Nothobranchius furzeri: one gene and its partners. The protein of the gene in region 7 interacts with the protein of the main gene of each other region in a pairwise test. Links are inferred from orthologs where the notes say so. Each region holds a gene or a part of one and is shown on either strand. Other genes may lie near its edges. The genes, in order: wdr83, fxr1, heterogeneous nuclear ribonucleoprotein D0, pelo, bag3, stub1 and hspb1.

The links.
Region 1: the proteins of hspb1 (region 7) and wdr83 interact in binary tests that used the Homo sapiens proteins (3 or more experiments, as listed by UniProt). The link is inferred for Nothobranchius furzeri from reciprocal best matches to the Homo sapiens genes HSPB1 and WDR83.
Region 2: the proteins of hspb1 (region 7) and fxr1 interact in a two-hybrid assay, tested with the Homo sapiens proteins (2 studies listed by BioGRID and IntAct). The link is inferred for Nothobranchius furzeri from reciprocal best matches to the Homo sapiens genes HSPB1 and FXR1.
Region 3: the proteins of hspb1 (region 7) and heterogeneous nuclear ribonucleoprotein D0 come close enough for resonance energy transfer, tested with the Homo sapiens proteins (2 studies listed by BioGRID). The link is inferred for Nothobranchius furzeri from reciprocal best matches to the Homo sapiens genes HSPB1 and HNRNPD.
Region 4: the proteins of hspb1 (region 7) and pelo interact in binary tests that used the Homo sapiens proteins (3 or more experiments, as listed by UniProt). The link is inferred for Nothobranchius furzeri from reciprocal best matches to the Homo sapiens genes HSPB1 and PELO.
Region 5: the proteins of hspb1 (region 7) and bag3 interact in binary tests that used the Homo sapiens proteins (3 or more experiments, as listed by UniProt). The link is inferred for Nothobranchius furzeri from reciprocal best matches to the Homo sapiens genes HSPB1 and BAG3.
Region 6: the proteins of hspb1 (region 7) and stub1 interact in binary tests that used the Homo sapiens proteins (3 or more experiments, as listed by UniProt). The link is inferred for Nothobranchius furzeri from reciprocal best matches to the Homo sapiens genes HSPB1 and STUB1.

The regions. Positions count from the first base shown.
Region 1 is NC_091744.1:1,725,101-1,729,688, reverse strand, and holds the start of wdr83 (WD repeat domain-containing protein 83), read right to left. Parts: upstream 3,162-4,588; 5' UTR 3,092-3,161; intron 2,953-3,091; exon of another isoform or gene 2,825-2,952; intron 2,518-2,824; coding exon of another isoform or gene 2,468-2,517; exon of another isoform or gene 2,365-2,467; intron 1,892-2,364; exon of another isoform or gene 1,757-1,891; intron 1,639-1,756; 5' UTR 1,636-1,638; coding exon 1,530-1,635; intron 724-1,529; coding exon 603-723; intron 427-602; coding exon 321-426; intron 175-320; coding exon 126-174; intron 1-125. Other genes in the region: wdr83os (PAT complex subunit Asterix), read left to right, coding at 2,468-2,517. UniProt on the Homo sapiens protein: Molecular scaffold protein for various multimeric protein complexes. Acts as a module in the assembly of a multicomponent scaffold for the ERK pathway, linking ERK responses to specific agonists.
Region 2 is NC_091748.1:72,983,537-72,987,456, forward strand, and holds part of fxr1 (RNA-binding protein FXR1), read right to left. Parts: coding exon 3,914-3,920; intron 3,822-3,913; coding exon 3,700-3,821; intron 3,598-3,699; coding exon 3,391-3,597; intron 3,228-3,390; coding exon 3,159-3,227; intron 2,689-3,158; coding exon 2,606-2,688; intron 1,146-2,605; coding exon 987-1,145; 3' UTR 1-986. UniProt on the Homo sapiens protein: mRNA-binding protein that acts as a regulator of mRNAs translation and/or stability, and which is required for various processes, such as neurogenesis, muscle development and spermatogenesis.
Region 3 is NC_091746.1:62,892,299-62,896,961, forward strand, and holds the start of heterogeneous nuclear ribonucleoprotein D0, read right to left. Parts: upstream 3,169-4,663; 5' UTR 2,948-3,168; coding exon 2,778-2,947; intron 1-2,777. Other genes in the region: enoph1 (enolase-phosphatase E1), read left to right, coding at 3,837-3,921, 4,144-4,235, 4,375-4,476. UniProt on the Homo sapiens protein: Binds with high affinity to RNA molecules that contain AU-rich elements (AREs) found within the 3'-UTR of many proto-oncogenes and cytokine mRNAs.
Region 4 is NC_091756.1:34,853,440-34,857,859, forward strand, and holds the start of pelo (protein pelota homolog), read left to right. Parts: upstream 1-1,561; 5' UTR 1,562-1,791; coding exon 1,792-1,832; intron 1,833-2,207; coding exon 2,208-2,300; intron 2,301-2,538; coding exon 2,539-2,689; intron 2,690-2,811; coding exon 2,812-2,902; intron 2,903-3,345; coding exon 3,346-3,509; intron 3,510-4,036; coding exon 4,037-4,097; intron 4,098-4,420. Other genes in the region: ppp1cab (protein phosphatase 1, catalytic subunit, alpha isozyme b), read right to left, coding at 773-827. UniProt on the Homo sapiens protein: Component of the Pelota-HBS1L complex, a complex that recognizes stalled ribosomes and triggers the No-Go Decay (NGD) pathway.
Region 5 is NC_091752.1:5,543,056-5,547,575, forward strand, and holds the start of bag3 (BAG family molecular chaperone regulator 3), read right to left. Parts: upstream 2,924-4,520; 5' UTR 2,896-2,923; coding exon 2,725-2,895; intron 1-2,724. Other genes in the region: tial1 (nucleolysin TIAR), read left to right, coding at 4,015-4,043, 4,397-4,493. UniProt on the Homo sapiens protein: Co-chaperone and adapter protein that connects different classes of molecular chaperones including heat shock proteins 70 (HSP70s), e.g. HSPA1A/HSP70 or HSPA8/HSC70, and small heat shock proteins (sHSPs), e.g. HSPB8.
Region 6 is NC_091756.1:32,259,624-32,264,202, forward strand, and holds the start of stub1 (E3 ubiquitin-protein ligase CHIP), read right to left. Parts: upstream 2,884-4,579; 5' UTR 2,744-2,883; intron 2,077-2,743; 5' UTR 1,963-2,076; coding exon 1,849-1,962; intron 1,737-1,848; coding exon 1,538-1,736; intron 456-1,537; coding exon 290-455; intron 196-289; coding exon 120-195; intron 21-119; coding exon 1-20. UniProt on the Homo sapiens protein: E3 ubiquitin-protein ligase which targets misfolded chaperone substrates towards proteasomal degradation.
Region 7 is NC_091750.1:66,231,487-66,235,329, reverse strand, and holds hspb1 (heat shock protein beta-1), read right to left. Parts: upstream 2,315-3,843; 5' UTR 2,225-2,314; coding exon 1,843-2,224; intron 1,392-1,842; coding exon 1,328-1,391; intron 1,103-1,327; coding exon 952-1,102; 3' UTR 714-951; downstream 1-713. UniProt on the Homo sapiens protein: Small heat shock protein which functions as a molecular chaperone probably maintaining denatured proteins in a folding-competent state. Plays a role in stress resistance and actin organization.

The DNA of each region.
Region 1 (4,588 bases), on a different chromosome or scaffold from region 7:
ACCGTTTAAGGTTCAAACTGCAGAATCATAACCTTTAAATTTCAACTTTTTATCATAAAGAACGGCACATTTCTCCAGGAAGTCCAAAAATCCACGGATCACTGCAGACGTGTTCTGCTACTCACCAGATAAGATCACTGTTGCCTCCTCGTTGAACTGCACACAATTAACTTTCTGAGAAAAGAAAGTTTAATCAAAGATATTCACGATTAAACTGAAACATAAATGCACATCAACAACATCAGCAACAGCTCAGACAATTACATCAAATGGACTTTACAGACAAAAGAAACGCCATCATAGAAAGCAGCCAGACTGACCCCGGCGTGACCTCGGAGCTTGCGTGTGACCTGGCCTGTTGCTACGTCCCACAGGATCACGCTCTTGTCGGAGCTGCAGGAGCAAATCTGGCTGTTGTCGTATGACCTGTGGAAGCAGTCAAAGAGGGAAAAAAAGGTCCATCAAGGCTCAAAAGGAGTTTAGTAAATAGATGACTGAAGTGTTTGTGTTCTTTCCATCATGGATCGGAAAAAAAATCACCTGAAAACAACATTTTATTATTCCTGAAATACTGAGGAAGAAAATGAGAGCAAACGTCTCACCCATCTGCATCCAGAACCTCGTATCCATGACCGCTGTACGTCTTCAGGAAGGTCCCCTGACTCACACTCCATAACTTCAGCGACTTGTCGCTGCCGCACGACAGTACATAGTTTCCGTCAGCTGGTTAAAAATAAGGAGGAAAACAATCATGTTTATTATTATTGTTGATTTCAGTCAAATCTTTGCATGCGACCAATTTCATAAGAGTGCTTTTCATTTTAAGCCACTTCCTACTGTAACATCAACAAAATAAAAGCCCTAAGTAAAGGTGTATTAAGTGTTGTCAGTACACGACCAACAGCTAAGCAAAAAGGAACATTTTACACCAATAAAAACAATGTTTTATGTTTATGTATTTAGCAGACGCTTTTGTGCAAAGCGACTTACAAGTGATAATCGGCATGTTGCCCTTGAGGCTAACAACAACAACAACAACAACTTGACATCTTTTCTTACATAAGTCATTCATTTGGGGCAAAAGGCTTAAAATATAAGACTTTATACATACATACATATATGTGTATGTGTGTGTGTGTGTGTGTGTGTGTGTGTGTGTGTGTGTGTGTGTGTGTGTGTGTGTGAATGCAAGGGACTAATGGTTTATGATTAGGCATTAGCCAGATGGATAATGGATTCATCAAATTATTTTAATATTCTCAACATTAAACACTAACTATATTTTGTGTTTATTGCAGTGCTGCTACTAGTAGATTTTAATGAAGAATCAGGTACAAAGATGTATGGAGGAAAAGCCATTCAATAACAATAAAAGTAAAAACCATTTGCAAGATCACAGAAATTGTAAACACAGATTTAAACATTACTAAATGATTAACAAAAAAAGACAGGTTTGGTTCTTTGGAAGTTTGTTTGTATTTTGGCATAAATAGTAAATATCAGGCTTCAAGAGGGGTTTTAAAGTTTACCGTTAAAGCGAACAGCCCTGACAGCTCCTTGCTGGCAGTCAATGGTCCGGAGAAGATGCTGAGGAAGCTGAGGAGCCTGAGGTTTGGGCTGAGGGAACGCCATCATTACCTGTGAGGAGAAACAATCATCGGTCACCCACAATATCCTCAAACTGTGTCATTATGCTGTGCACGAGCTAGTTTCCGGTAATAAAAAGCGTTTTAATAATCAACATGAAAAAACGTACCTACGCTATCTGTTAGTCATGTTAATATATTCAAAGCGAAGCTAGAAGTTTAATACTAGAATATTTTAAACCACCAACGATACATGTTTGCTAAGTTACAACGTCTTCTTCTTCTTGTTCATTGGCGGGTGGCGGTCGATGCTGGCAACCAACTTCTAGGTGCATTTCCGCCACCTTCTGTGTGGGAGTATGAGTCGCATTAGGGAGAAACGGAGAAACTGTTCTAATTAAATTCTATATATTAAATTACCAGTCTTTAAAAATTCAATTAGTAATTTATACACATCTAATCCTCCAATTAATATATTCCTCAAATTCAACTTTTCATTATCTTTCATCTTTAATTGTCTAGATAATATTTTCCTATTCTTTATATATTTGTCACATTTACACAGTACATTTTCTACCGTTTCTCTATCCTTTCCACAGCCACACATTCCTGTATTATGTTTTCCTATCATAAAGAGTGTACTGTTTAAACCCGTATGCCCCATTTATACTGGGTTATTTTGTTCTTTTCAAAATAAAATATTAAATATTTTACCTCCATGTTAGTCAATGCAAAAAAACATCTTGAACTCTTGTTTTGAAATTTAGCGGAAATAATTTTCTGATCTCGTTTCGTCACTCACCGCGAGGCCGATCAGCTGTCCGTCGGTCACTTTAAATTTATTTTATTTGCTTTTTAACAAAGGAGATTTGGGGGCAAAAATGTCTTCCAATAGCACGACAGATCCGAGGAGGCTAAATAAAATTATACGGTAGGTTTTCCCCCATCAATCAGACAAATCTACACCGAAACTAGCCATAATTGACAACGAGCTAGCAGCCTAGCTAACCCTTCCTCACTAGTGATACTTTGTAATGGGAATTAGCTTTAGCTTTGAAATTATGGTTTACACTTTCTCATGGAGTCGACATTTCTACTCGTATGTTATTTATCAGCATTCAAGAAAATAACTCAATTCATCAGTTTGGGAGTCTTTCGCACAGCGTGTAATTTAATTCTTTTTTAAATTTATTAAGTCAAAAAATAATGAAACCACAGCTAATCTGATCGGATTTTACCTTTCACTTGTTTTAACTTCTTTATCATCTTTATTTCCGTACTGCAAAATCTTGTGACATTTTAGTCAATCCTTTCTGTGATTTCTTCTTCACACAGGTTGAAAAAACGAATCAGAATTCTTCAAGTTGACGTGGCAGCAGCGTATTTCTCTCATTGTTTGATTAAAACTTGACCTATGTGGCAGATTAGTGGAAACACAAACACAGACCCACCATGAGTTTGTTTTTTAAAGATAGTAGATGTCACACTACAGGCTGTTTACTTACCCTAGTGTCTATTTTACAGCAGGACCGAGCGCAATTTGTGGCAGCGGCAGCGCTTGTGGCACTTGCAGTGGCAGTTCTGATACTTCCGGGTGGTGCCACGGCTTTTAGTGGCACCCGCGGCTTTTAGTGGCACTAGCCACGCCCCCTACCACTGCTGCCATTACACTTCCGGGTGGTGCCACGACTTTGCACTAGCCACGCCCCCTACCACTGCTGCCATTACACTTCCGGGTGGTGCCACGACTTTTAGGAGTAAGGTCTAGCTGCGGACATTGCCCAGGAAAAACGTTTTTCCTGGGCAATGTCCGCAGCTAGGTATTATTGGATTATTGACTTTTAGTGGCACTAGCCACGACCCCCTACCACTGCTGCTCTTGACTTTTAGTGGCACTAGCCACGCCCCCTACCACTGCTGCCATTACACTTCCGACTTTTAGTGGCACTAGCCACGCCCCCTACCACGACTTTTAGTGGCACTAGCCACGCCTCCTACCACTGCTGCCACGGTACCTGCGGCTGTAGTAGTGACCTCAGTAATTGCAGCACTTATTGCATCATCGGCCTCATCATGCCAACGTTTTTATTTTTTACTTTATTAACAAAATCAAAACAAACAAGGCTGTCACCGAAAATATTTGAAATATTTCAAGCGGTTTACAAATGCGTTTCCCAGTCACTTCATGCATATACAGTGTAATGCAATCAGAAGCGTTAATGCATTTATTTTTTCCATCATTTTTGTTGCTCCCCCAGACGAATCCGTGACAGATCTAGTGGAAGATCCACAGACACTTCCGGGTGGAAGACCGGCGGTGGGTCACCGGCCTCCGGTACAGAGTCAGGAAAAGCAGGGGAGCACCAGAGCTAGATGGAGAGCGCCAGAGCAGTTCTCAATTTCTGAAATAATTTATGACAACTGCTACCAATGTGGATTGTGGAATAAAAAGAGATAAACTGTTAGTTTTCTCAATATTGTCATTGCAATCGGGGCAGATACCGCCATCTGCCGGCTTAAAATGGTTATTGCAGTACATTTTAAACTTTTTTAAAACTATTTCAATCTTCGTTTTCACATACATTCAGTTTACAATGTAACCTACATTCAACGTACTGAAGAATAAAGCAAATAAAAATGACCTCAGTTGAGGAAAATAAAAATTACATTTAGAATTTGCAACAATTACCACATGACACTACACCATAAAATAAATCATGATGCAAAATAATAATAAATTAAAAATGAAATATAATCAACAAACAAAAATTGTTCAGAGGTTAATATTTCAGCATTATATTTCAAACATGTATGATTAATTGGACTGTAATTTAAAGAACAAGAAACTCAGACATTGTTTCGTACTACTCATAAATCCATATGCACAATACAAAACTTTATTGTTGTGAAACCACAATATCTATTAACAATAAACTACATCCCCAAATCCGTTGTAGTGACAAAACAGCCTTTTCACTCCCAAGTTGTTTAAAATGTACTGC
Region 2 (3,920 bases), on a different chromosome or scaffold from region 7:
CTCGTCTCGTCTCAGATATGCTGTAATAACATTTGTCCTATGATCAGAGTGGTTGCATATTAAAGAACAGGAAGCAGCTAATGTCAAACTCCTCAACAGATAAATATATAAAGGATAACGGGACCCCCCCACCCCACCCCACCCCCACAACATTAAGAGCAGACACCTGATTTTAGAGAGATGGCTCTGAAATCCTTTGAGGGCGTTTTGAGGGTTCGCCCTCACCGGCCTCTAGCGGAGACGCCTCGTCTGTGGCAGGTGAGGGAAACCGGGTCACGCGGAGAGATGTGGAAGGATTTCAGGTGGAGCGCAGAGCCAGGCAGCAACATGTTGAATCTACTCTCAAGGCACAACAGCTGATCACACGTGAATCAATTCTACTTGAGTTTGCGACAAACCTATCTGCAGCGTGGTAAGGCTCATGCAGATGTTCACTTTTCAAACTACCTCGGATGGAAAAAGCATCCTGGAGAAGACAAAACTAAAATAAAAAATATGTTGCCACGCGACAAAAAAACAGGCATCGTTGTAAAACTTTGCCAGAATTAAAAAAACAAACTGCTGCATTCACACCACAGAATGGATTTGAGAGGAATTCCTGTCTGCGTTGTATAAACACTGCTTTCAGCCAAACCTCCATCGGAGCTCTCGGTGAAGAGCAAGCTAAAGAGGTGTGTGTGTGTGTGTGTGTGTGTGTGTGTGTGTCCCTAAACATGTGTCTGACTATCTTTGGCAAGCTCGTACTGGAAGAACTACTGAGAAAGAAAACTAACTAGTAAAATGAACAGTTGAACAGATAAAGGTGTAAATGAGAGGTTACGGTCTTGTGCTGCAGAACAGGTTTCAAATATTTGTTAAGTAATAAAAAGGACAGTGCTTGTTGTGTTTAAATGTTTAGTAAACTTTGACGCCTCGCCATGGAGACGCAACCAAGTATCCCCAAAGGAGTCCAAATATTTGAAACCGTTTTCTTTGCTCCGGTCTAACTAGGAGAGTCCGTTAACGACAGGTTCCGGGTTCGAGTCCTCCGTGTGAGAGGCTTTGGCGGGCTTCTCAGGGGGAGACTTGGTGGCGCCGTTGCTCGAGCCGTTGGTGGTTGGCGGAGCAGACTGCGGACTGTGCTCAGCAATAGCCTCCACCTGACCCTGGATAGATGAAAGGAAGTTTTCAGCTAAAGTGCGTTTAGGAAATGACCGCACTGCCATTTTTCTGATAGAAAGTTTCATTTGAGTTACGACTTTCTTCAAATCAAGCTTCAGCACAAAATTCACTAAGTACATAATCACTCACAAACATGGCCGAACGCGACATCACACCGTCAAAGCATTAAAGCTAACACTAAGGATGAAATCTGAAGGTAACTGGATGTTCTTCAGGGCCGCCTGAATGATTCTTCACTCAAAAGCAGCCGTTACAACCAACGCCGACGCATTTTACAGGCTAGCTTTGAGTTACCCTAACTCTGCAAAGGCTTGTGTCATCAGAAACGTTCAAACAGGTTTTGAAAGAAGAGAACTTGAGCTTCCACGGCTGCAGTCTTACCACGATAAATCCCCTTCTGCTGCTTCAGGAACCCAGATATAAAAAACATGGGCCTGCGCAGCGCTACAGGAAAAAAAAAACAACTAAAGCTGGGCGGACACTGTGCGACTTTTTCACTCGTAGCACTCATCTTCAGCTCACACTGTACGACTTCCTCGCAGGGCAGATCTCACGAGTCATGTGCTCACGCTGTACGACCCAGTTCTCGGATGCGACCTGACTGCTCACACTGTACGTCTGGTAGCAACACGTCGGCCCTAAAAATATGCTAAAAAAAGCAGTTTTTACTCAACACGTCAGACTTTTTTGTCTTGTTTTGCCTGTTGTCCTTCGGGAGTCCTGCAGGAGGACACACGGGGATTTATGGGGGTTGGATGAGGAAAACAAAATAAAGTAAATCTGTGTTTTGTTATCAGTTTAATTTGACATGAACACGACAAACACGCTTTATTGACAATATTTGTCATTGTGTGTAAAAAAATGTTTAGAAATAAAAACGAACAGCGTGTGTTATTAGGGAAATAGCGGGCGAGCGGTGTTGATGCAGGATTGCGCATGCGCCGTGAGCGGTTCTGGTACTTTTTGGGTCGCAGCGCTGCTTCAACAGTGCGATACCCTCACGAGGGACGAGCAAAATATCAAACACGCCAGAAGTCCGTGCGAGCTCACGATTGCTGATCGGTAGCTGGTCACGTGGTGTTAATCGCCTCTCGTAACCCCCTGTACACTACACGACGCTCAGCGCAAAACTCGCCCCGATGTCGTGGATTCTCGCACGAGTGGAAAATCGGCTCAAAAAAGTGAAAAAGTCGCACGGTGTGCGCCCGGCTTAAAAGGAGCCGAAGCTTTGCTCCTTCAGCTCTGGCATTGGCCGATTATGTTTGTCTGAAATCGAATTGTCGACCAGAAAACAGGTGATCATTCAGCTCTATAAGACAGTTTCTTGCTTCTAAAATAAGAGATTCTCAGTCGAACACCAGAGATGCTCACTTTACCAGAATTACCACTTTATAGAAACTAACGGACATCTGTCGGCAGTCACATGCAGCATGGCGGTACTGACCACATCCTTGGGTTTCTTTGTGTCCTTGGTGTTTGTCTGCCTGCTCTGAGATTCAGCCCTGGATATGTAGTCAGCCACGGTCACTGCACAAACACCACAACACCTCTGGTAAGGCACCGGGGCAGAGAACTTATGCCACATCCGCCCCAGTTTTCACAACATCAGTAGGACTTCCATTTGTGCAAATTACAACGCACAGACATTAGTGAAGCTTGCAGAGTCGGGAACACCGGACACAAACATCAGCGAGGACTGATTAAGTATTTTAAGTTAACTTAAAAATGTAACTTTTGCTACGGCAGAATCGCAACGCAGATAGTGAGTTTAGAGTAAAACAAGTTCAGGCTGGAAAAGCAGTGGTTCAAATCTCGCATTTTAATAGAAGCACAACTGTTAGATGCTGTTGGACAAGAAGAAACCTCTTAGTTTTCCAAAACCGCCAACAACGCTCATGCCAGTTAATTCTGCACCTGCAGCTCAGTATGCAGTGTTCTGTTTGATGCCACTAAAGCTGCAGCCTGGAGAACACACACCAGCGGTTGCCATTGGTTACCTGGCTGCCTCTCCTCTGGCAGGTGGGCGCGGCGACGCCGGCTACGGTTGCGGCGCTGAGGTTTTACATCTAGGAGTTTTAGGTTTTCAAAAGCAGAATGATTGGTGTCTTCAACATTAAACGCTACCGTAAACTGCAGAAGCTTCTCCTACTGTCAAAATGCTGCTCTGATGACAACACCTAGCAATGCCACTCTGATTACATTCAAAGACGACTCATCCATCCTCCATACCTAAGCCATTTTCACTCAGCGAGGCGTTGTCAGACTCGCTCATGCCATCCATCAGAGTGGCATCTTCATCTGTTCTGCGACGCCGTGACCTTCGGCGGCGGTTTGCTGGCAGGTTGGACTCGCTGGCATCGGTGTCAGCTGTCTGGTCCGTCTCAGTGTTTGCCTCCAAGGTTCCATAGGGTTGGTAGTTGTCATGGTCCCGAGGCGCTGCAGAATTATATTCAGAATGACCGACAGCAGGCTGCAGTTACACAAGACAGCAGGTGACTGGGTGCGCTTCAGAAGGACAAGCCTTAAGGTGAATTTTACCAGAACTGTAGTTGTATCCTCCTCTGCCTCCTCTCCCCCTTCCTCCAGGTCCCCCTCGACCTCTGCCAGGTCCCGGCCTTCTACGACCATCTCTTTGTGGCCGAGCGCCTCGTTCTCTCTCCCTGTAAGTCCAAAAAACGAACGTAGAGGCCCTCAAAAAACAACACATTTAGACTTGTCAGCTCGTTGAGTTTCAGTGTGGAACATCGCTCACCCATCCT
Region 3 (4,663 bases), on a different chromosome or scaffold from region 7:
TTGTACAAAATGGAAGGCCTGTAGTGTTTATTCACTATGTACTCCACGCAACAGAAAATTGCGGCTCTTTTTACCGCTCCCTCCTGCAGTCTTCCCCTATTAACATTTAAAATGATTCTGTAAATTCCGTGTATCAATAGAGGCTTGGGGAGAAATTATGACACTTCTCTAAATAAAGTAAATTTTCCAGTGCAGATTGGAGACAACCCATAGTAGCACTGATTTGATCTCATTTCAGAGAACAATAGAACAGGTCAGTTGCACCTAATAAATAAAATTACTAACAAACTCAGGAATCTTTCTTTGCTTCACTGTTCTGGTGTAGTGATGGGAAATACGGCTCTTTTTAGAGAGCCGGTTCTTTTGGCTCCCAAGTGGCTCCTCAGATTTTCTGTTGCGTAGAATACATGTATAACCAAAATAATACTAAACTATATGTAAAATAATTTACTAATGTAAAAAAGCAATATATCAAATATTTATAATTTCTATTGATTTAATAACTGAACACTTTAAGAAATCTCCACTTCCCTACTGCTGGCGCTCATTTTCTCCTCTCTCTCGCTCGCCTTTTTCCTCCTCCTCATTCCCTCTCGTCTCCCTCCACCCGCATGTGCTCTGCTGTGTGTCTGTCTGAGTCTGATCCTCCCTCTTCCCCGCCCCTACTGCTCTGTGTGTGGACAGTCTGGACACACAGTTACACATGTTGACCAATCGCCTGTAGCTTTCACCAAGGCAGGGGGGGAGGGGGGAGGGACGGCTCCCAATGACGAGCCGGCTCCCGTCGTTCACTTCAAAGAGCCGGCTCTTAGAGCCGGTTCGTTCGCGACCGACACATCACTATTCTGGTGCTGAGGATATCACTAATGCGGATCAAAGGAGATACACAGATGAACGCACCTCTTATTTATTATTTGGAAACTACATTTACTGCAGCTGGCAGAGGCAGAGATTGTTTCTATTGATACATGAATTTACAGAATCGTTTTAAATGTTAAAAGGGGAAGACTGCAGGAGGGAGCGGTAAAATACAGGGGGTCCCCAGCTAAAACAAGAAACTTTACGAGTCTGATGAAACCCGCTGGTTTTCCATCAGGCAGTCACGGGGCAGCTCCAACGACCCAGTGGCTGTGCTGGGTCAGTTACCGAGCCCAGTCCGGTACCGGCTCGGCCGTGAAGAGCCGAGGCAACGTCATGCTCTGCTTAAGAAGAAGCGTTATTTTCCCGCTTCAGAAGAAGCGTCCAACGTGTTTTTACGCTTTCTCCGAGACATGTCACATTGCTAAGTTGTTAGCGCGCTAACACGTCAATAGTGCAGCGTAGCCTGCTGGAGGTTTTAAGGGTTCAGATGAAAACACCCGACCTCTCAGGCTGCTCACACATCGATCTTAAGTTGTCGCTGTTGCGCTCACGCCGTAATACAGTATTAGATGCGGTTAAAGTCAGACATGAAAAAATAAATAAATTTTACATGAATAAGTGATGCTTAGCCTGGTGGAGGGAGGAAAATCTTGCCTAATAAGCACTGGAGGAAACCCTGTCAAGATCGTTAACACTTGTTTATCTTACTGCTATTGAAACATGTAAACCAAAATGCATTATATCCATTGCTACCTTTCTAATTTTAAACTCAGTAACTTATGCTGTAACGTCACCTTGCTCTGCCTGCTCCTTTCTTCTTGCTGCCCGCCGGCTGTGATCACAAGCGACAACATAGTAGTTCCCGCTGCTTCTTCGGGAAACAGCGCATGGCGGGCCGCCACGGCTACGCCTATGTAAGGGAAACCCTGTATTTTAAAACATTTTCTAAATGCTTTTTTATATTTTTACATTTTTTTTTGTTTTTGTGAAGAGCCTCGTGATTTTTATCTTGAGAGGCACTATAGAAATGATATTTTCTTCTTCTTCTATTCTCTTACAGTACCAGTTGATCACTTTTTTTGAAGAATTTATTTGAGATTTTCTGGTTTTTATTAATTGTGCAATAGACAAATAATAATTAGATTAATCGCCATTAGAAAAGTCAACTATTCGATAAAATAATCGTCAGAATAATCATTTTAAAACTAATCGTTTACCCCCAGCCCTAACACCAAAGTAACTTGAGGTCTTAAGGGGAGACTGTGCAGTGTCTCTCCTTAAGCCCTCCTCCAAATAACCATGTTATTAGGGCAAGAATCTGACAATATGACAAATATCACAATAAAGGGGAGATGATACGATATAATGCAATACTAAAAGCCACATGATTAGCTATTTTAAAGACTGAATTTAATTTTAAATCACTCCAGACGCTTTCAAGACACATCCAGCGTTTTCTCGAGATCTTGTCGTTCCATCAGAATGAAGGCAGTAAAACTGCTGCTACCTAGCAGTCAGAGTTTGAATTGCATCAAACAAAATAATTACAGTAAATGTTAACATTTAAATTGTGAATTACAAACATCGAGAAATATTGATTCAGTGACATGAAATATCACAGCATTGATTTTCTTGCATTCCAACTGATTATGGTTATATCTAAACGGAGTGAGACAGCAGAGTCAACAACATGCTAAAGAAATGTGTCCCGTTATTCTCACTTTGACTACTCAACATAAACATCTTTATAATTGTGTAAATGTATTAAGTCTTACCGATTTCCTTGCTGAATTTGTCTCTATATGTACTTATGCAGATGTAGCATCCATGTTGTATATCCTTCATATAAGTCCAAAAGCTTTGACTGAGAGTGAAATAATAAATGACCGCGTTATGAAGCTGGAACAGTAACATACCCTTCGTCCTCCTCGTTTTTACTGGCGTCAATCCTCGACCCTTCGGCCTCGCCTCCCATCGTCAGGCCACAGTCCCCACTAGCGGACATCGGGTCGTCGTTGTTAGCATCTCCATCCTCCTCCATTCTCATCAGGCTCGAGCCTTCGCTGAATTCATAATCCTTCGACATATTTTGGTTTTTTCAGGCACCTAATTTTTAACTAAAGCGGCACCGGGAATTTTTGAGAAAATACAAATTCACAAAAAAATAGAAGTTGCGCTACAGATAGCTAGTGGCTAGCTAATATTTATTATCAAATACCATCAGATAAAAAAACGAAGCAAACGCAAACCGTGTAGCTTCTTCACGGAAACATCTAAGGTTTTGATTAACAGAAATTTAAAGCGTTTAAACTGATAATTAACTATCTTCCAAATGTTATTTTAATAATAAGAGCGTCGTTTTGTGTCGTTTTTTATCACCGTCACCGGATTCTTCTTCTCTGTTTTAAAAACGGATGAATTAGGAAACCAAACCGGGAACAGCGTCACCCAAACGTGCCGGTGTTACGTCGAAATGTGTGACCCCGTTGAAAACTGTTTCTCCCACTGGCTTTGCCCTGCCCCCTTGTGTTCGGTTCAGATGTAAAGAGATTCACACAGCTTTATCGCACATCCGACTCGCCTCATCAAAAAGTACATAATTTAAGTTATATATTTTCTTCACCTAACATTTTTGTCTTCGCAGTCGCACAAATATATTTGCCGAGGAACACCTATGACGACCATGCTGATGCTGACAGCAGCGAACAGTTTCAGACGGGGTAACCTATACAACATCTAAGTGTAAACATTAAACACGGTTAAAATAAACGTTCTTTGAACGGCAGATTATAATTTCAAGTGAACGTAAAGAGAAAATTAAAAATTGAATGGAAAATATACGGTGTGTGTGTTTTACGTAGAATATTTATCTAGTCAGCTAACACCCTCAAAGAAATAGCACACACGTAACAATGAATTCTAATTATTTTCTGACATGCAAAACAAAATATTATTAATTGTAAACTGTTCAAAATATGTTTTTAAATGATGAGTCCTTGCTATTAAAATACTCAGTATCGTCACCTAGTGAGTTGGAGGTGAATTGTCAGACCGGAACATGTGAGTTAGTTGTTGCATTGTGTGTTCGCTAAAGTAATGGCTTGAATAATCACGTAGCAGAGATCAACTAAAGCCATTTCCTGCTCATTTATAATCTCGGTTTTGCGGTATTCGACCTGGACACGCACGTGGGAACAGAGCCTCGCTGTAACACCACACTATTTAAGCTAAGCTATCGTTAGCTAAGATAAGAACCTCCACCATCCTTGTGTTTTATTCTAGTTACAGAAATGGCCACTGTTTCTATTCCTGCTCGCACTACAACAATCTTGTTGGACATCGAGGGAACCACTACACCAATTACATTCGTTAAGGTGAGTTACATTTGTTTTTATTGTATTAGGTGGGTCCAACCGTAATGCTAAGTAAAGAGCTAACAGTTGCATACGGCTAAAAACTGCCTGTTTCTAACAACTGAAAACTAATACACTCCGGGCTTTGTCACTTTTCCAGGATATTTTGTTTCCTTACATCAGGGAGCATCTGGAGGATCACCTGTCCACTCACTGGGAGGAAGACGAGTGCAAACAAGATGTGCATTTGCTAAAGAAACAGGTATGATTAAAGCCTTAAAGTGAAATTAAAGTGAAAATAAATATTTAAATGGAGCCTTAAAAAATATATCTATCATGATTATGATAGAAAGATTAAAATAAAAATACAAGGAAATCCAATAATTGAAGAAAAACAATTACAATTTATAAAATGGCCTATAAAGCCCAAAGTAAAAGAAATGCAATTT
Region 4 (4,420 bases), on a different chromosome or scaffold from region 7:
GGTTAAAAAACAAACATTAACCAGGGAAGTGGTAATTCAGTCTCATTTTGTAACAATCCTACTGAGGTGTAACTATTTTAATTCATGTCCAGCATACGTGTGTCTATCTATCTATCTATATATATCATATTTTCACAACTCTATTGGTGAAACATTTTTATAAGCAGACCACTGAGAAAGGGTCAAAAATTATGTATTTTAGTAGTTTTTCCTGTTGTCTCATTTATCGCAGCATCTAAAAGCACACGATGCAAAGGGAAATTCAAATATTTTAGGTTTATTCTGACACTGAGAAAATCTAAACATCTCATGGATTTCTGACAAACTGGTCAATTTTGGGGATTTTTGGTAAAGGGTATTCTGTAAATCATGCGTTAAAATAACCAGAACGCTTTTTAAATACCAATTTTCACCTACGATGATTTATTTTCATGATTGGAAAAAGTAAAAACTTCAAACTAACCCTACAATAAAATCACACGTCTTCATCGCTTGATGAAAATACATTTCAAACAGCAAATATGAGAAAAGACGCGCATCGTTTCAATAAATCAATGTTAAACGAGCCCTTTAACGGGATTACATGTGAAAATTTTTGTTGAAGCACTTAATGCAGGTCTACATAATTAATCTGATGGTTTCTGTCCAATGCGAGTCAAATTTTGTATTTCAATTGTAAAACCCCAAAGATGGATAATTAGGAAGTCTTTCATTGGCGGCTTCTTCCCTGTTAGCTAAAATGGCACCTCGGTGAATAAAAACCGAGTCTTACCTTCCAGGAGACGCTGTATAATTGAATCGATGTTCAGCTTGTCGGCTTCCGCCATACTATTCTTCTAATCGGGTCGGGTTTTCTTTGATTTACTTCGAAATTTCAATACGAAAAGATTGTAAAGTAGCTCTCGAGTTTACCGTTAGCTCAAGTAGTTAATCGGCTATCGTTAGCCGCTAGCTAACCTTGGGGGATAATAACAACCTCAAAGTGTGAGGCTGAAGACTGAATTGTTGAATATGTGATGGCTGACATGTGCTTGCAGAAATTTAATTAATCAACGACTTCAAATTTGAATCCTAAAACACTTTTTAAGTGTTTGAAATATCCGCCGCGGCTGCTAGCACAACCATGCCATCGACAAAAAAGGTTAGAAGAGCGTGGCTGAACGGATGTTGTCCGACTGTATTTGAGCTGCAATTGGTTCGTTTACCTCCGTGGCCGGGATCTGTGGTACAAAATCTGCTATCGGGTTGGCTATTTTCAATGTACGTCAGCATTTAGTCATCTCAAAACCACAACGATAAAAGAGCAAGTGCTCACGGAAATGGATCAAACGTTGTTCTTTGAGAAACTTCAGTTTACTTGAACATTTCCAAATAAATAAATACATCTACAAAATCTGAAATATTTAAGTTTCGGTCGCTTTGTATGTACTGCGCAGAAGCAACACCCATTAAAGAGGCCAAGCTAGACAGAATTGACGTATGATAACATGACGCAATGGGTCCTCTACTGCTTATTCGCCGGCGAGTTTAGTGGTGCATCGAATGGGCGGATGCAACTTACAGTCCGCTACGGTCTCAATGTTTAGGCGGATCGTTCTCCGGCATAACGTTAAGGAACGGACCCACGTCTCAGCGCCTCGCAACACGAACCGAGTGATTCATTCCAAAGTTGAGAGATGGCTTAGCTTAGTTAGCGCTTTCATTGAAATAAATATGTCCGTAATTCGGTTAAACTCCTGCCACTGTAGTTTAGGTTGACAATCTTGTTTATTACATTAAAACAATCCAGCCATGAAGTTGCTCCACAAAGACATTGAGAAAGATTATGCCGGGTGAGTGAAATGTTTCAGCTAATATTAGCAAGCTAAAAAGCATGCTATTGTAGCTGACCAAACATGTGTCATCGTAGTGGTGATGGATACAGGAACATTTACGATCAGTGCTTTATTAGACAATGTACAGAATGAAGCATTATTAACATAATACTGTATTTCCTGATATAGCCAGAGAGCTTTGATGACTGTTCTGTCCCCATCTAATGGGTAAACAATAAGAATCAAACAGTTTTTGTAATTTTTTTTTACATTCTGCATAAACATTCTATCAAACATTTGGATCAGTCGATGTCTAAAGAACATTTGATCTTGTGTAATCAAACATAAAAGCCAATCAGAAAGCTAGTTTGATGTGTGTTAACACTTCTTCAGTCAGGTAACTCTGATGCCAGAGGAGGCAGAGGATATGTGGCACACCTACAACCTGCTCCAAGTGGGGGACAGCTTGAGAGCCTCAACCATCCGGTAACCTTTGACCTGTGTCGCATAAAGATGAGATGTGCAACTCTGAACATTAAACTATCTCATGACCATTAAACAGACCACTTAGAAGTTGGTTTTAGTTCAGATGAGTTTGTTTCTTCTCTTTTCTGCCTGCTAATCAGTCAGGGTTGTATTTTGATTTGATCCCTTTCACAGTCTGTATGCATGTTAAATTGAACATTACACTAACAACTAAAGCTATTTTCCCTTGTTGCCACAGAAAAGTACAGACAGAATCCACGACAGGAAGTGTGGGCAGCTCCAGAGTCCGGACAACTCTGACTTTATGTGTGGAGACCATTGACTTTGACTCCCAGGCATGCCAGCTGAGAGTGAAAGGCACCAACATCGAGGAGAACCAGTATGTCAAGGTGGGAAATTGGACCGTAACCCTATAGTAGTCACACTCCGGTGTGTTTTTGTTTTGCTGTATTTGACACCGTTACTAGGGCTTGTTTGGGTTTGAAAACACTTGTCATATTGTGTTTTTCAGATGGGGGCTTACCACACTATTGAATTGGAGCTCAATAGGAAGTTCACTCTGGCTAAAAAATGCTGGGACAGCATTGTGCTGGACAGAATTGGTAATTGGCTGCTGGCTTTTATGCCACAGTTTTAAAATGAGATCATTTGCTGTTGAGAAAGGATGCCATTACAGCTGTTTAGGTTAGTTCCTAAAAATCATGCACAGTATTTTAGTGCTCAGCCTGTATGTTATGGACGATTAAATGTCGTTCACATAAAATTTAAGCTGTAAAATCAATGTGTTTACCAGTTTCAGTGAACTGTAGCAGCCATCCTGAATCAGGTTGACCCCAAGCACAAACCAGGTTGTAGATGTGCTATAAAATATACGTTTTTAGAGTCTTATTGAAATCCATCCAGTGGTTTATTAGATATCTTGCTGACAAATGCAAACAAAAACACAAGTACCCGCCTTTTGGCTTTCAGCAGTGAGTTGTGATAGACCTGCAGTAAAACATTTGTAATGATGTTTGACCCATTTTTATTATTTTCTACCCTTTAGACCAAGCATGTGATCCGGCTCAGAAAGCAGATGTGGCAGCTGTGGTCATGCAGGAAGGTCTGGCTAACGTGGTTCTGGTGACCCCCGCCATGACTCTGCTTCGGGCAAAAGTGGAGGTCACGATTCCTCGGAAGAGAAAAGGCAGCTGCAGTCAGCACGAGAAGGTCAGTCGTCTGGGATGTGTTCTGGTGTGTGCTTTGTTTATGTCTGGATAAACCTGCTTGATTTATTTGAAGAGCAAGTCACTCCAAATCAACATTTTTTTTGCTGATAAACTATATAAATGAGTGTCTTATTGTGCTGTAGACAAATGTAGTCAATAATTTGGCATTTTAGTGCATCTTAGTTAAATTTTAACTATTCTGCCTAAAACTGTCAGCGGTGCACTGTCGTCAGGCAAAAACTCAGCACTGCATTTGAATAGAAATCTGCCATCGCTATTGGCTAAGAGGTACACAATGATGTTAGATGGTACATTATGATGTCACAATGTCGTGAGTGTGTGTATTTGTTAGCGGCTCCACCCTCTCGGTCTGCTAGGCAACAGGAAGTGGGAGTTCAGTAAGAATCTGGCCGTGGGTGACTTGCTCTTTAAGAGTGGTTGCCTTCAGATGGTCATGTAACGATTATTCACGGGTGCATTCAGATAAATCATTTAAAAGGTAAGTGTTGTGCTTGTTTTTTTTACCAGGCATTGGAGAGGTTCTATGAGGCCGTGATGCAGGCCATTCTTCGCCACATTAACTTTGATGGTAGGTCCAACAGACCTACACTTCCACATGTAACAACACAGCATGTTCCTGTTTTCATCACATGTTCCACTCTGAGTTTCACCCGCAGGCTGAATGTAAAAACGGTCTTCTACCCCATCACCTGATTTAGCTGCTGATAGAAATAGACGGAAAAACGCTCAGATTAGAAAAGTCATTCAGATCTACGTCACACTGGAACTTAACATTCATGGGCTCATCCATCTTGACTCACGATCAGGAAGGCTGTTGCTGGTTTAACAGCCAGGAAACGGCAGAGAACTTATCTGCCTCGTAGAAGCTAACCGTTAGCATGAGCAACTCCA
Region 5 (4,520 bases), on a different chromosome or scaffold from region 7:
GTGGCTCCCCAAATTTCCAAACAATAAATTAAATATGGTTCAATCAGTGAGTGATACAACATTAATAACCCAGACCAACTTAGTAGAAACATGACTCTATAGAATACTGCTATGGCTTTGGCAACTTTCCCCTTTATATAACGTATAGGTGATTTCCAAGTGAGACTCTTAAAGAGATTGACTCGTTGTTCTTGAGCTTAAAGAGACAATGTGTAGTTTTTAATCATTCATTTCTGGAAATATCCATCAAAATGTCGTTAAATTAATGGAATGATGCCCAGTTGTTGAAAATGATTGACGGCTTTGTATAATAACCATAAAAATCAGGTCTAAAATACATGGGAGTGGGTCTAAGTCTCTGGGTGACTCCATATTAGATGTCAAGTTTCCTTCTAAGGGAGCCCGTGAGGACAAATTGCATTTACTGATTTGTAACAAACAGTTACAAAACTTTTGTCATTCTTAAATGTTGTTTTACACATTTACCTCTTCACTTGTTGCCACTGATTAAAGGGAGTCTGATGTGCTTGTCATTTTACTAAAGTTTGCACTCCCCAGGGCTTTTTGACCCTAATGAGCATCTGTCGCTTTCCGCAGCCGCTCGCTTCCGAACTCAATTTTTACTGGTACCCGCTCTACAACGGCTCCGCTCCGGTGCAGAGACCTGAGGTGCGCAAACAGGCATGCGCTGGATTTTCGAGATCTTGCGATACAGTCCGAGCAATAAATGCTCGTTGGAAGTTAGATCCAAACACCCGTTGTGTGGGGGAAGCATCGAAATGAACTGTTTAATCTGCCCATCATTTGTGTTGAGAGATCAGCAGTGTTTGGATCAACAAAGTGTGACTACTTTGATAGTAGAAACTGTATTTATGGCTTATGTTGTGCATTTAAAGTTCAACCGCCATTGATAGTTGTTAAAAGTTGTTAAACATGTGCATATGAAACAAAAAACGTTTTTTGTTTATCGATTTATTGTGAAATAACGGAAGTTGTGCTTGCTCCCTTTCCTGTTGGGCGATTGTGATTTCTGTCCTTTGACTGCGGAGGTGCTCCGGCGTCCGGCAAAAATAGAATCAATCCATTTTTGCCGGATGGCGGAACGGCTCACTGCGCCGCACGGCCGCAGTAGTGGAACAGCTCTGATTGACTACAACGGGACCGTTTTTGCTGCAGAGTTCGTGCCGGAGCGGAGATAGTGGAATTTTGGGGTTACTCAAACACAAAAATACTGCTTGCTTGCAACGATTTATGTATCTACTGCCCCCTATCGCCAGGAAAAATACACACCGTCTCTTTAATTGCAGTTGTTGCCTTCAAGAACAGTGGCGCCCCCAAGTGGTGGCCAGAGGGGGGCCTTGACCAATCCTGGAAAATTGCTGGCCACCTCAGAGCACTTCCACTCTCCAACCTCCTTTAATAAATCATATTTATGTTCAATATTTATGTTCACAAAACTATACATTAGTCTTCTTTAATAAAATGTAAAACCTTACAAATATAGAAATAAGTAAACAAATTAATATGTTGCTGCTGTGCACCATTTTCAAGAAGAAGTACAAATATCAATCTGTTTTGTAAAATGCATTCATTAAGACAGCGACAGATACATCCAGCTGTTCTAAACTACTAAAAAGTAAATGTTAAAGTATGAATAAATTAAATATTTGAAGTTTCTTATTTTCTCAAATATAACATTTCTGCTGCATATTTTTTAAGAATGGATGAGGATGCAGAGCACAGCTACAGGCTAAAAAACTCAAGAGTTACCAAGAGAACTAGTTTGATGTGCCACCCTTAAATTTTCCTTGGCCCCCCAATCTTGTCCCCCATGAAAATGTCCTGGTGCCGCCTCTGTCCAAGAGTGTTCAGAGTTATTGGTTAAGAGAACTTGAAGTCTTCATCTGAAAACTGCATTTTGTCTTTGCTGATCTGAAACATTTATGCGTGACAACAAAAAGAACAAAAGCAGAAGAAATCTGTAAAGGTGCAAATACTTTTTTTACATAAGCCTCAGAATGATCAAACACCAACACTGAAAGTGCCCCATGCAGCTGAGATAATAAAAAATAAATAAAATACAACTACAAGCAGGGCATTAATGTGTGAACTATTGATAATCCTCCAGCAAAAGTTGAGAAATAGCCGTGAACGACCCTTTGCCCTCTGCCTGGTCCAATGCACCAATTTTATCCCTCAACAGCTGTGTCTTTCTAGCAGATTCCTCAGGACACTAACTTTGGAAAACAGTGTCTGTCCCTATGAAGAAAGATTACCCAGCTGGCAGCCTGTGGAGCTCACGTCAGCCCACGGATTTGATTACAGACCTGTAGATTTCTACATTTCCACATCTAAACAACCAGATTCAATATCCTAAATGGAATGGGACCCAACTGCATTTTATTTTGTGGGTAAAAAAGTTTATAATGAGTTTTCCACCTAAATTAACGCTGGTATCAGAAAGCCTTGACACTCGGCAGTGAGTCATCGGGTAATAATAGTGTTAGATCATGACTCGGGAACATAACGGGGCTGATCACCCGTTTTATTAGGCTTATGAGCAGTCAGTGAGGGGGAGGCGACGGGACCTAACAAGGCCTACAGTCAACAAGATTAACACAAAACAGCCATGTAGCGTAGCGACTCCAGCAGCTTAACACAATCCGTAACCGACGCAGCACCCTACGGAAACCCGTTGAAACAACTTTATCCCGCCTCCGTTACCTTTTTGGTGTCGTGTCTCGGGTCATTCCAGGTTGTCGTCCGGTTGTTGTGATCCACGAAAAAGGGCCATCCAGTGTGAGGGTCGATTTTGACTTCCCATCCGAGGGGGAGCTGGTCGATGTCATTATCAGCCATCACAAGTGTCGGAGAGTGCGTCTTCACTGCGTTCATGGCGAGTACTGAGACATTTTTTATGGGCGGCGGTCCCTTTAAAGATTCCTGCGAGTGACGTAGGAAAGTGGGCTGGAAGTTTCTCGAAATAGCGGGGTTAATGTCGGGGGCGGCGGACCGCGCTGGAAGCAGCGGCATGGCGGCTACTTCTTGTGTCGCAGACACCCCCCAACAAAAGACACTACATTAATTTAGTTATAGTTGGTGTTTACAGAGAGCAGCTATTACCAGCTCTACTTTAATAACAACCCCAGAATCACGTAATAACCCTGAAACCTTCTCACTCACGCATGCGCAAATCTATTAGACCTGGGGTTTGAACAGCAGTTTTTCCCCTCAATCCAATTTGCTTAGAGATGCAACTGCTAAACCTGTTTATGCGTCTGCATCGGTGCGGAGACACAAAACGCCAGGAACTTGAAACAAATATGATTTATCGTTCTGATAAATATCTACGGAGGAGAATTAAGGCCACTGATAAAAAGTTATTTTCTCAGATTTCTTAGATTGTAAGAATTATGAGAAAGGGTAGAATATTGGCTCCTTTCTGAGATTAAAATTAGAAATATGTATGTCATCTAGTCTGTTATAAAATGTGTGTCATTTTTGTGAGGAAAAGAACCCCATCTTGTTTCTATTATCAAGTTTAAAAATTCGGAAAACCTTGTGAAAAATGAGTACCGATGCTTGTTTTGTTCGAGTCCAAATCGTGAAAACCTCGAAATACAAAACGAGCGTACCCATGTAATGGACTTCAAAATAAAAGCCTTTTACGTAAATTGCGTTGCTTTCGAAAAGCAAGAGGGAAATAAGTCATTATATTCTCTGAATCAACTGTTTTATTCAATTAATTTCTATTTACACACGGTGAATTCAACTTACAGAATAAAATTAAGCCATTTATAGCTTCGAACTAAAGGTTGACCCAGACCCTTTGGGTTGACCTTTCGGTGCTCATGCGCAGGCGCAGTTAGCACACTCAGCGTGACGTAAGAAACGTTGCCCGGTTAGCTTTCTAAGCTAGTTAGCTCGTTGTTTACAGCGTTTATCTCTCAGTCTACGTCCTTTAATTACCAAATAGTTTATATTTTTTCTACGACGTCACGTTCAGTGTTGGTCATGGACGACGAAAGTTACCCCAGAACCCTGTAAGTATTTTTAGTGTTTTCGTGGTAGCTAGCTTTCGTTTGGTTTCTCATACGCAGCGGCTAACTGAGCTACATGTCCAAAAAACAAGTGTAGACAACGTTCAATATTAAGTGTTAATTTACGTTTTTAATTAGTAGGCGTTCAAAAACACGTATATTTCGACGATTAAAAAAAACGTTAGTTCAGATGAGGGATTACCTTAAACAGTTTCACATTGGAAACGAGGATATTTATATAACGTTAGCTGGTAGTGTCCTCTACATCATGATCTGTGATATATAAATCATAAATTACTGTAGGTCTGAATCTGAATTAAACCTCGTCTACATTTTAAACTTCCTCTTCATTGCAGGTACGTGGGAAACCTCTCCTGGGACGTTACAGAGGTTTTGATTTTACAACTCTTCTCCCAGATTGGACCGTGTAAAAGCTGCAAAATGATCACAGAGGTAAAACTACCCGTTATCTTTTATGGT
Region 6 (4,579 bases), on a different chromosome or scaffold from region 7:
ATGTCCATTAAATACTTGTCCTTAGCAGGTCACGTTTACATGTAATGAAAATGTCCCAAAATTAACATCAACGCATATTTTGGTCAGTAAAAAGTGTGAAAATCAGGGCAAAACCCAACGTGTTTTGATGAAATCTTTGCTGCATCTCCTCCGCTTTGATTGTCATCCTGTTTTTCTCTGTATTCTTCAAGTTCTCTATGAAAAATAGTAAACGCCACGTTATATCACTAAATCTAAACCACCTGGAGCACAGCGTGCCAGAATGTATTTCAGAAAAATCCCATCTGACCTCTCCTTCTCAGCCAGGATGAGTTTGGTCAGGTAGGCGTGCAGCTCGTTCTCCTGGTTGATGCGCTTCTCCTCGATGCTGTTCCAACGTTTTTTCTTGGCGATGCGTAACGCACTGGGGATGTCGTCTCCAAAGTTCAGCCTCTGCTCTTTTGCCAGGTTATACGCTATAAACAAATAAATAAGTCACATTAGTTAAAACTTGGAAGTTTGGAAAACGGTCAAAAAGAACATCTAAACAGTCTTTAAATCAATTTTCTATCAATTCCATGCTGCTGCAGAAGAGCTGGTGCTGTGGCTGCTTAACAATTTCCCAACGCTCTGAAATGGTAGGTTAGGTTGTAGTTAGAAGATAGAGATTTTGCACCTGCAGCTACACATGACCAAGCTTTCTCTATCATTATGACGCAGACTGGAGACACTGACTCAGTCCATCAGCACCCACCAGGTAACCAGCCTCTGATTGCTCTGGTTTGGCCTGTAAACTATACATTTATAATAGAAAGCATAAATCTGACCCTCGTGTTGTGTTATGGTTTTAGACTTATCCATGAGTTTTGAAGTCAGCCGGTATCCAGCATGTTTTAGTTGTTTCCCTGCTCCAACACATCTGATTTCACTCAGCAGGTGATTAACAGGCTTCTGAAGACCTTGATGAGCTGCTGATTAAGTGTGTTGGAGCAGGGACACAGCTAAAACGTGCTGGATACCGGCACTCCAGAACCAGGATTGGACTCCGCTGCTTTAGTAAAAAAAAACAAATAACTGTTGCACATTGGGTTTAATGCTCTGTGTGATCTGCTTGTTTGAAGAACTTGTCTGGAGACTTGTCAGCAACATTCAAAGATATAAATGAGTAAAACACACGGACTGAACAGTGTGAGTCTGTCAGCCAGCAGCACTTAAACATCAGCTTTCTGGTATTTAAAATAGGCAGAAATTACTGGAGATTGTATTACAACATTTAAGGGTCATGTTGAACTGTGAAAAAAACGGACTTTTCTGAAATGTTACACAACAAGTCATTAATTTATCTACACAACATTGATGTAGACATGGAATAGAACTTTTAAAGATTGCTGAAGACAATGGGGACGAGAAAACAACTACATAAAAGGATGACAATACAAAAACTTCAATCTAAAAGGAATTATGAAAGAAAAATGAAGGAACTTGTGAGACGAACTTTTCCCCCCAAATGACGCAAAACTCAGCCATGTTTACATCCTCTTTAAGGACTTCCTCAAACCTTTCTGCAGGTTTCCAATAGCCTCGTCGTAGTTCTCCAGCTCCAGGTGACACTGACCCAGGAAGAAGTGTGCCTTAACGGACTGGCTGTCCAGCTCCAGAGCATGCTTGCAGTCAGCCAGAGCCTTGTCATACTGCTGCAGCTTTACATGGCAGAGGGCCCTGTTGGTGTAGTATACAGCCACTGATGGATTACGGTTCTGTGGGACAAAATAAACCAGAAAGTGTGTTAATGAATTATCTGTAATCAGAAACATTTGTATTCTTCCAGCTTAGATGACTTAAGACTCAGACATCCTTAGTGCCACTCACAATAGCTTTGCTGTAGCAGGTTGCAGCCTCCTGGTACTTGCGGCAGAGGAACAGCCTGTTCCCCTGCTCCTTCAACTCCTGCGCGGTGGAACTCTTCTCCGGGCTGCCGGCCATCTTCTCCACCGGCTCCGCGGGGCCCGCCTCGCCCTGCTTCCCAATCCTGTTCCCCGTCTCTTCGGCTGGCCAGACGTCAGAGTTCAAAATGACCAGTCCGTCCTGGATCGCGCTCTACAGAGCAGACACCACAGGGTTTACTGCACTGCAGCTGCAATGCGCGTCTTTTAGGTGCAATGCTGCTCGATGCCACCCAAAAGGTTTGATTTGCTGACTGCGCGCACTGCCGCTGAAAAACACAGCTAGGTGCCTAGACTGAATTAACTATTCATATGACGGACATCGGCGTGGGCTGCAATCTGCAATGAGCACCGCTTTGAGTATTAAGTCAGGGTAACTTTACACCAGAGGTAGCCGAAAGGTGACGACCGACACCTCCAAACAGATCACTCGCTTGCGCAGGAACAGTTGGAGGCTAGCTGCTGTGGAAGAAAATGTTCTCAGACGAAAAAATTCACAACTTTAGTGAGACCAGAGATCGCTGCTATGCCTAGTAAGCTAGGCTACGTGGTCGGTTTTCACCGGGGGTTGCTAAAGGATTCCGCTCATTCAGCTCTAGTTAAACTCACTGAATTCATCAAATGAACAATAAATGCCACGTTTGATCCCAAACTATTCTCAGCCGGACACTGTCGTTAATAATATAGTACACCAAGACCCGGCTAAGCGATAAGTAAAAAAATCTTTAGCTAATGCTAAAATTAGCCTGTTAGCCCAAAGCCTCCCCTGTTTCTGGTTTAAACTGAGTTCGTTGTTAAAGCCTACCGTTTCCAACTCTTACCTTTAATGATAAATCTTACATCCAGATGATTGTGACTTCATTTATTTTGATATACAGTCTTTAAGTATTGATTTTCCCCGTACGAGCTCTCATGACAAGTTGTTGTTATGCTGACGTAAAGGGCTTTTTTACGTTACTCCAACGGAAGCCGAAAGGACACAATTAGTGCGATGAAATAAAAAGCAAATAACTGAAACTATGTATCAGTTATTACCTCCTAATCTTTCATTTAGAATAAAACAAAAAATGTTTTATGTATAGAAAGACTTACCAACAATTTCATTTGTTTGTGAAATGCAGTAAATAACGTTTAGTATTTTGAGTATACTTTATTTTATTAAATAATTGTCTTAATTATTATTTTGTAGCTATTTAAACACCATTTTTAAGTATCATTTATTTTTGTACATTTACGTGTTAATACGTAACATTTAGACAAATTTATTAAGATGGCATGTGAGTTATTTAGTCATTATTTTTTATCACATGTAGACATAGATTCAAGCTATTCAAAAGTATTAGTAATTCCAAAACACATTTTACATATTCATACATAATAGGTTTTGAGGTCAACTATTAATTGACAATAAAGGTAAAAAAACGTGTGCATCTACTGTTGTACTGAACATCTTTTTATATTTTTTAATTATCTTTATTTACTAATTTAGCATTAAATCAAATAGTTATGTACAAATCCTAATGCAGTGGTTTCAAATTCATATTCAGGTAGGATGCTATGTCAGAGTGTCAGAAAATGCAATAATCCTACCAAAATAAAATGTGGATTACATTCATATACCCTTTGATGGCAACTTTGTACAAATCTGTTAAAACGTGGATCATTTATCAACATTCCTTTCAGGATTCTCCTGGCATGTTGATCAATGATGAATGATCAAACAGACTCACATATTCTTGTTATGAAATGATATCCAGGATCTTTGTTTGCTGCTGTTATTTTGGTAGACTTGTTTTTTTGTTTTGTTTACATATTTAAGTCGAAGCCAACATTCTCTTTGTGGATTTCAAAGTTTAACTTAAACTTTATTTAAATTAGAGTCTGTGTGTCAAATTAAAATTTTTATTATCTTATAATACCATAAAGCAAAGCAAAGCACACACACACACACACACACACACACACACACACACACACACACACACACACACACACACACACACACACACACACACACACACACACACACACACACACAAATTACTTTTTTTTTAATCACGGCTTGTCCTACTTTGATCTGAAGCTTCACCAGCAGAGGGCGCTCTGTGCTGCAAAATTACTTGAACATCAAAATTGAAAACGTCTAACTGTGTAGAGACCTGCAACAGCAGAGAAGGACAACAGGTCTCTATTAACTTATTTCATGGATGCCAAGATCTTTTGAGGCTTCAGTGATGTAAACTTTTGAATAATTAAATCAAAATATTAAGATTGGTCCTAATATTCACAAACGCACCTCTAACCCTTTGCCAAAGTAGTAGAAGTCTGTTAGAAACAGGTCATCACTTTGTTCAGTCGTGGATGACATCTTCAGGGAGGGGTTGGGTAATGTTCAAGACTTTATCATAAAGTATCTCAGAGACATCCCACCCACAGGGAGACCTACAGACGACCTTTATAACTAAGATCTTTCAAGTTTAGCAACAGAGAAACTAGCAAGACAATGATTTTGGACAGGGTCACTTTCATCCCAGCCTGTGTGAAGATTAGGACACATCCCCAGAGCAAACACACATATAGATGTGTTAAAGAGGGGGGGTCCAACTGAGCTGCAGACCTAGCAGCAGTGAGTGTCCCCAGCTGTGTTTACCGATCTC
Region 7 (3,843 bases):
ACTGTGTGCTTATAACGTAATGGTCAGCTAATAGACATCTGCTTTGGCTGCCAGAGTTAAATCTGAAATCAATCCAACTATAGCTGACCTATTAGTCACTACAGGCCAAAAGCCGTGGAAGAACATTCCGCCGGTTTGTCTGCCGGCTCCCTGTGACCACACAGCACGCTGGAAGCTCAGGACATGGTGTCTATATATATAGATTTCCCCCTGCAGCTTTGGGGTCAGGAGCAGAGTTGGTCTGTGTATTTCCGGACAGACGTGCAACACGAAAGCCTGAAGGATGATGCTATGGAAGGAGAGAAAGAAGTGATGGAAACAGGTTCCATCCTACAGATGATCAGCTGGTGCAGAACAACATGAAAATAACCAGCATGGCTGGCTTCTTTCCGGCAGCTGAGCATCATTGACTGTTGTCAGTTCAGTTTAAGCCACGCCCACTTTACATGCACTAATGGGACGTTTAGTAAAATCCAATTGATCATTTGACTGAGTTCATTTATTTAGTTGTTAGCTGGCTGCATGTTATTTTATTAGATTTTGCTTAAAAAGCAAACAACAATTATGTGCAGGTAAGTAAACAGGACTTTCGTGATGCGCTTTTTGCATGGATGACCAAAAGATATAATTTAGCCACATAAATTCATTCTCAGACGTAGCTCAACTACACAGACCCATGTTGGTGTCACATCATGAAAAAAAAGACAAAAGAATATTTTTTGTTAATTTTATTTCCAAAAGCAGCTCAGTGACAAACAGGTACCTGAGGACACACGATTTTAATAATGACCACTGAGAAGCAACATCAACATTTACTTCAAATGAAAAAGCTAATTAAAAAGTAATAAAAAAAACCACAACAAGATTCATCTCCTCGAAGACGTTTGTGGATTAAAACAAAAAGCATGCATGCGTGTGCGTTGATGGCATCAGGGTGTATAGCGCTGCTATCTACTTCTGGGTCACGGCGGGTTTCTTCTCCACGGTGACGGGGATCGTGGTTTCGGTCGACTCGATGGCCATCAGAGGAGCCTCCACGGTCAGAATCCCCTCAGGGGAGAGAGAGGAGGTCACCTTCTCGAAAGTAGCGGTAGGAGGGAGGCTGGAGGAGGGGGGAGGAGACAGTGTTACACATTGTTGTAGTAGCAGAGGTGTGGCCACTAGGTGGCAGCAGACTTGTGGAGTTGAATAAACCAGATATGACTGACTAGGTGGCTGATAAGGCATTTCAGAACTCCAAACTTCAGCTTCAGATATACAGAATACATTTGACTGCATGCATTTTGCACAAACCTGCAGATTTTGAAAAAATAAAATAAAAGCTTACGTGTATTTCCTGGTGAAGCTCCTAGAAATGAAGCCGTGTTCATCCTTCCTCTCCTCGTGCTTTCCTGTGGAAACAACAGAAATTATTAAAAAAATAATTAATAAACAGCTAGTGATGTCATTCATCTCTTGTGCCATTCCGTGAGACTGAATCACACGCTTTGTTTATCTCTGTGCTCAGACCAGGTCCAGTCAACTGGACCGGATCCAGCAGTCCTTTTAAAGCTGCAGACACTGGGGAGTCACAGCAAACTGGAAGAACTGGGATCACGAGGGCGAGTCCGAGAGGGAGGAGGCCTCACATGCCACCAGTAAAAATGTAAACAAAAAGTAAAACTAAGCTGCTTCACAGGTATCTGTTGGCTTCTAGCCAGAATCCCACTCCCACCCATGTGAGGAAGAGGGGGAGGGGTCCTTTTCATCTGGAGACAATGACCTCAGTTAACCTGGATCCTGAATAAAAGATCCTGAATGTTTGCAGGTTACTTAAACACCTAGAGAAGAGAGAAAACTCACCAGAGATCTCCACAACACCATCCTTCATCTTCACCACCAGCTCCTCAGGTGAGAAGTGGTTGACGTCAAGGGACACCTTCCAGCTGTCCTGCGTCTGCTTGATCTCTGACACGCCACTGCCCATCTGCCTGGACAGGGCACGAGCCTGCTGGGCCAACATCTGTCCCGGGTACATGTGGCTGTGGGGCATCATGATGTCAGTGCCCAGGATGGAGGGCCTCAGGTAGCCGGGCCAGCGGGAGCTGGGGAACGTGGGAAAGTCCTCCAGCAGGGCCGGCATGCCGAAGATCTGGTCAAAGATCCGGCTGCTGTGGTGCCAGTCCCGGAGCGGATCCCAGCTGGGAGTGCGGGCCAGGGTGAAGGGAATATTTCTCTCAGCCATGCTTGCTGTGGTCGGGCAGAAGAAGTCTTCTCAAGTCTTTCAGAAAATGTTCTTCCAAGTTGATGCCTGACTCACATGCTGCAGAGCTTTTATACACGCTGGTCCCACCCCCCTAACGCCCTGCCCCCAGACCCACAAGCCCCCAACATGCCTACGGAAAGATCTAGAATCTATTTGTGTCTGTTGCAGCACGTGGAGGGCGGGTCTTGGTAACAGCTGCCCAGTGCAAACGTAAGAGCTCCCACCCCCACCCCTCCCATTCTGATCAGATCTGACTAGAAGCAACTGGAGGAAACCTGAAGAGCCGATGTGATCACAACATGCTGGGATACGATGCAAAAAGTAACACATAATACTCACCTGGGTTAACCCTCTGGAGGCAGGCATTGCAGGTTTGCAACAGTTACCTACCTGGTTACTCCACATATGTGTTTCATGAGCATTGTTTAACTCAGAGGTCGTCCTTCTATCAAAACTCATTTTGACCCAAACTGGGTTAAAAACTCCCAAGTTTCTTAGTGGATGACAGGAAACTGTTTAGTTTCATCAAAGTAGGAAAAAGTGAGCTAAAAACCAGACATGAAAACATCATTTTGGTTGCATTCGTTTCTCAGGGTCGTGGTTTTGCTCTAGTTTTAATACAGATGCACATTTACACACACAACGGTCTAGAAAGATGCGTCCAATAGAAAACATTTAGCAGAGTGTTGTAGAAACACCTGGAAGATGGGTTTAGGGTAAGCAAAGGGAGCATTTACACGTACGTGTTAGATCCTGCCTGGGAGACACTTTCAACTGTGAATCAATTCAACCCCTTCTTTTCGGGCTATCTACGCCAAAATACTAACTGTATTTTGATATCAAACTGGATTAAAAACATAGAAGACGTTCATTTTAGACCAAATGCATCTCAGTTTTAAACAAAATGCTGCTGGGTGTTGTCTTTGAGCAACCCTCTGGAGGCAGGCGTTGCAGATTTGCAACACTACTAAAACCTACCTACCTGGTTACTCCACATACACGTTTCATAAGCATTTTTAACTCAGAAGTATTCAGATATTTAGCTGGAAAAAAAAGAAAGAAAAACCAACAATTCCACCATTTTTCAACATGAGATGATTTTGTTTGAACATCTAGAATGAAAATGATCTAACTAATATAAACCCTTTCATGCATAAAGTTCAAAAACTTCTGAAAAGATTTTTAAAGAAAAACAAATGTTAACGTTCAAAATTTACATTTTTTAAAGAGCCACACATTTTCTTACATTATTATTATAGTATGTTATTAATGAAAACACTAGAGTCTAATGTGGTTGTATAAATAAAAGTTTACCATCAACATTCATATAAGCAAAAAACAGCTTTTAAATGGTGAAAATGAAGTTTTTTTTAAATCAGTAAACAAGGTTGTTTTTGCAGGAAAGACAGTAACAATTTAAATTGGAGCCAGTTTTTCTGTTTTGCATTAAAGGCCCTTTCTGGGAACGACCTCCAGGTGGTCAAACGGGCAATGCAGGAATTCATTTTCAAATGCAAACAACCGGAGCTTTCAGGTGGATGATCCACTCTGCATCTGAGAGACGCCAAACAGCAGGCAGCAGGGAAACTTCCATGCAT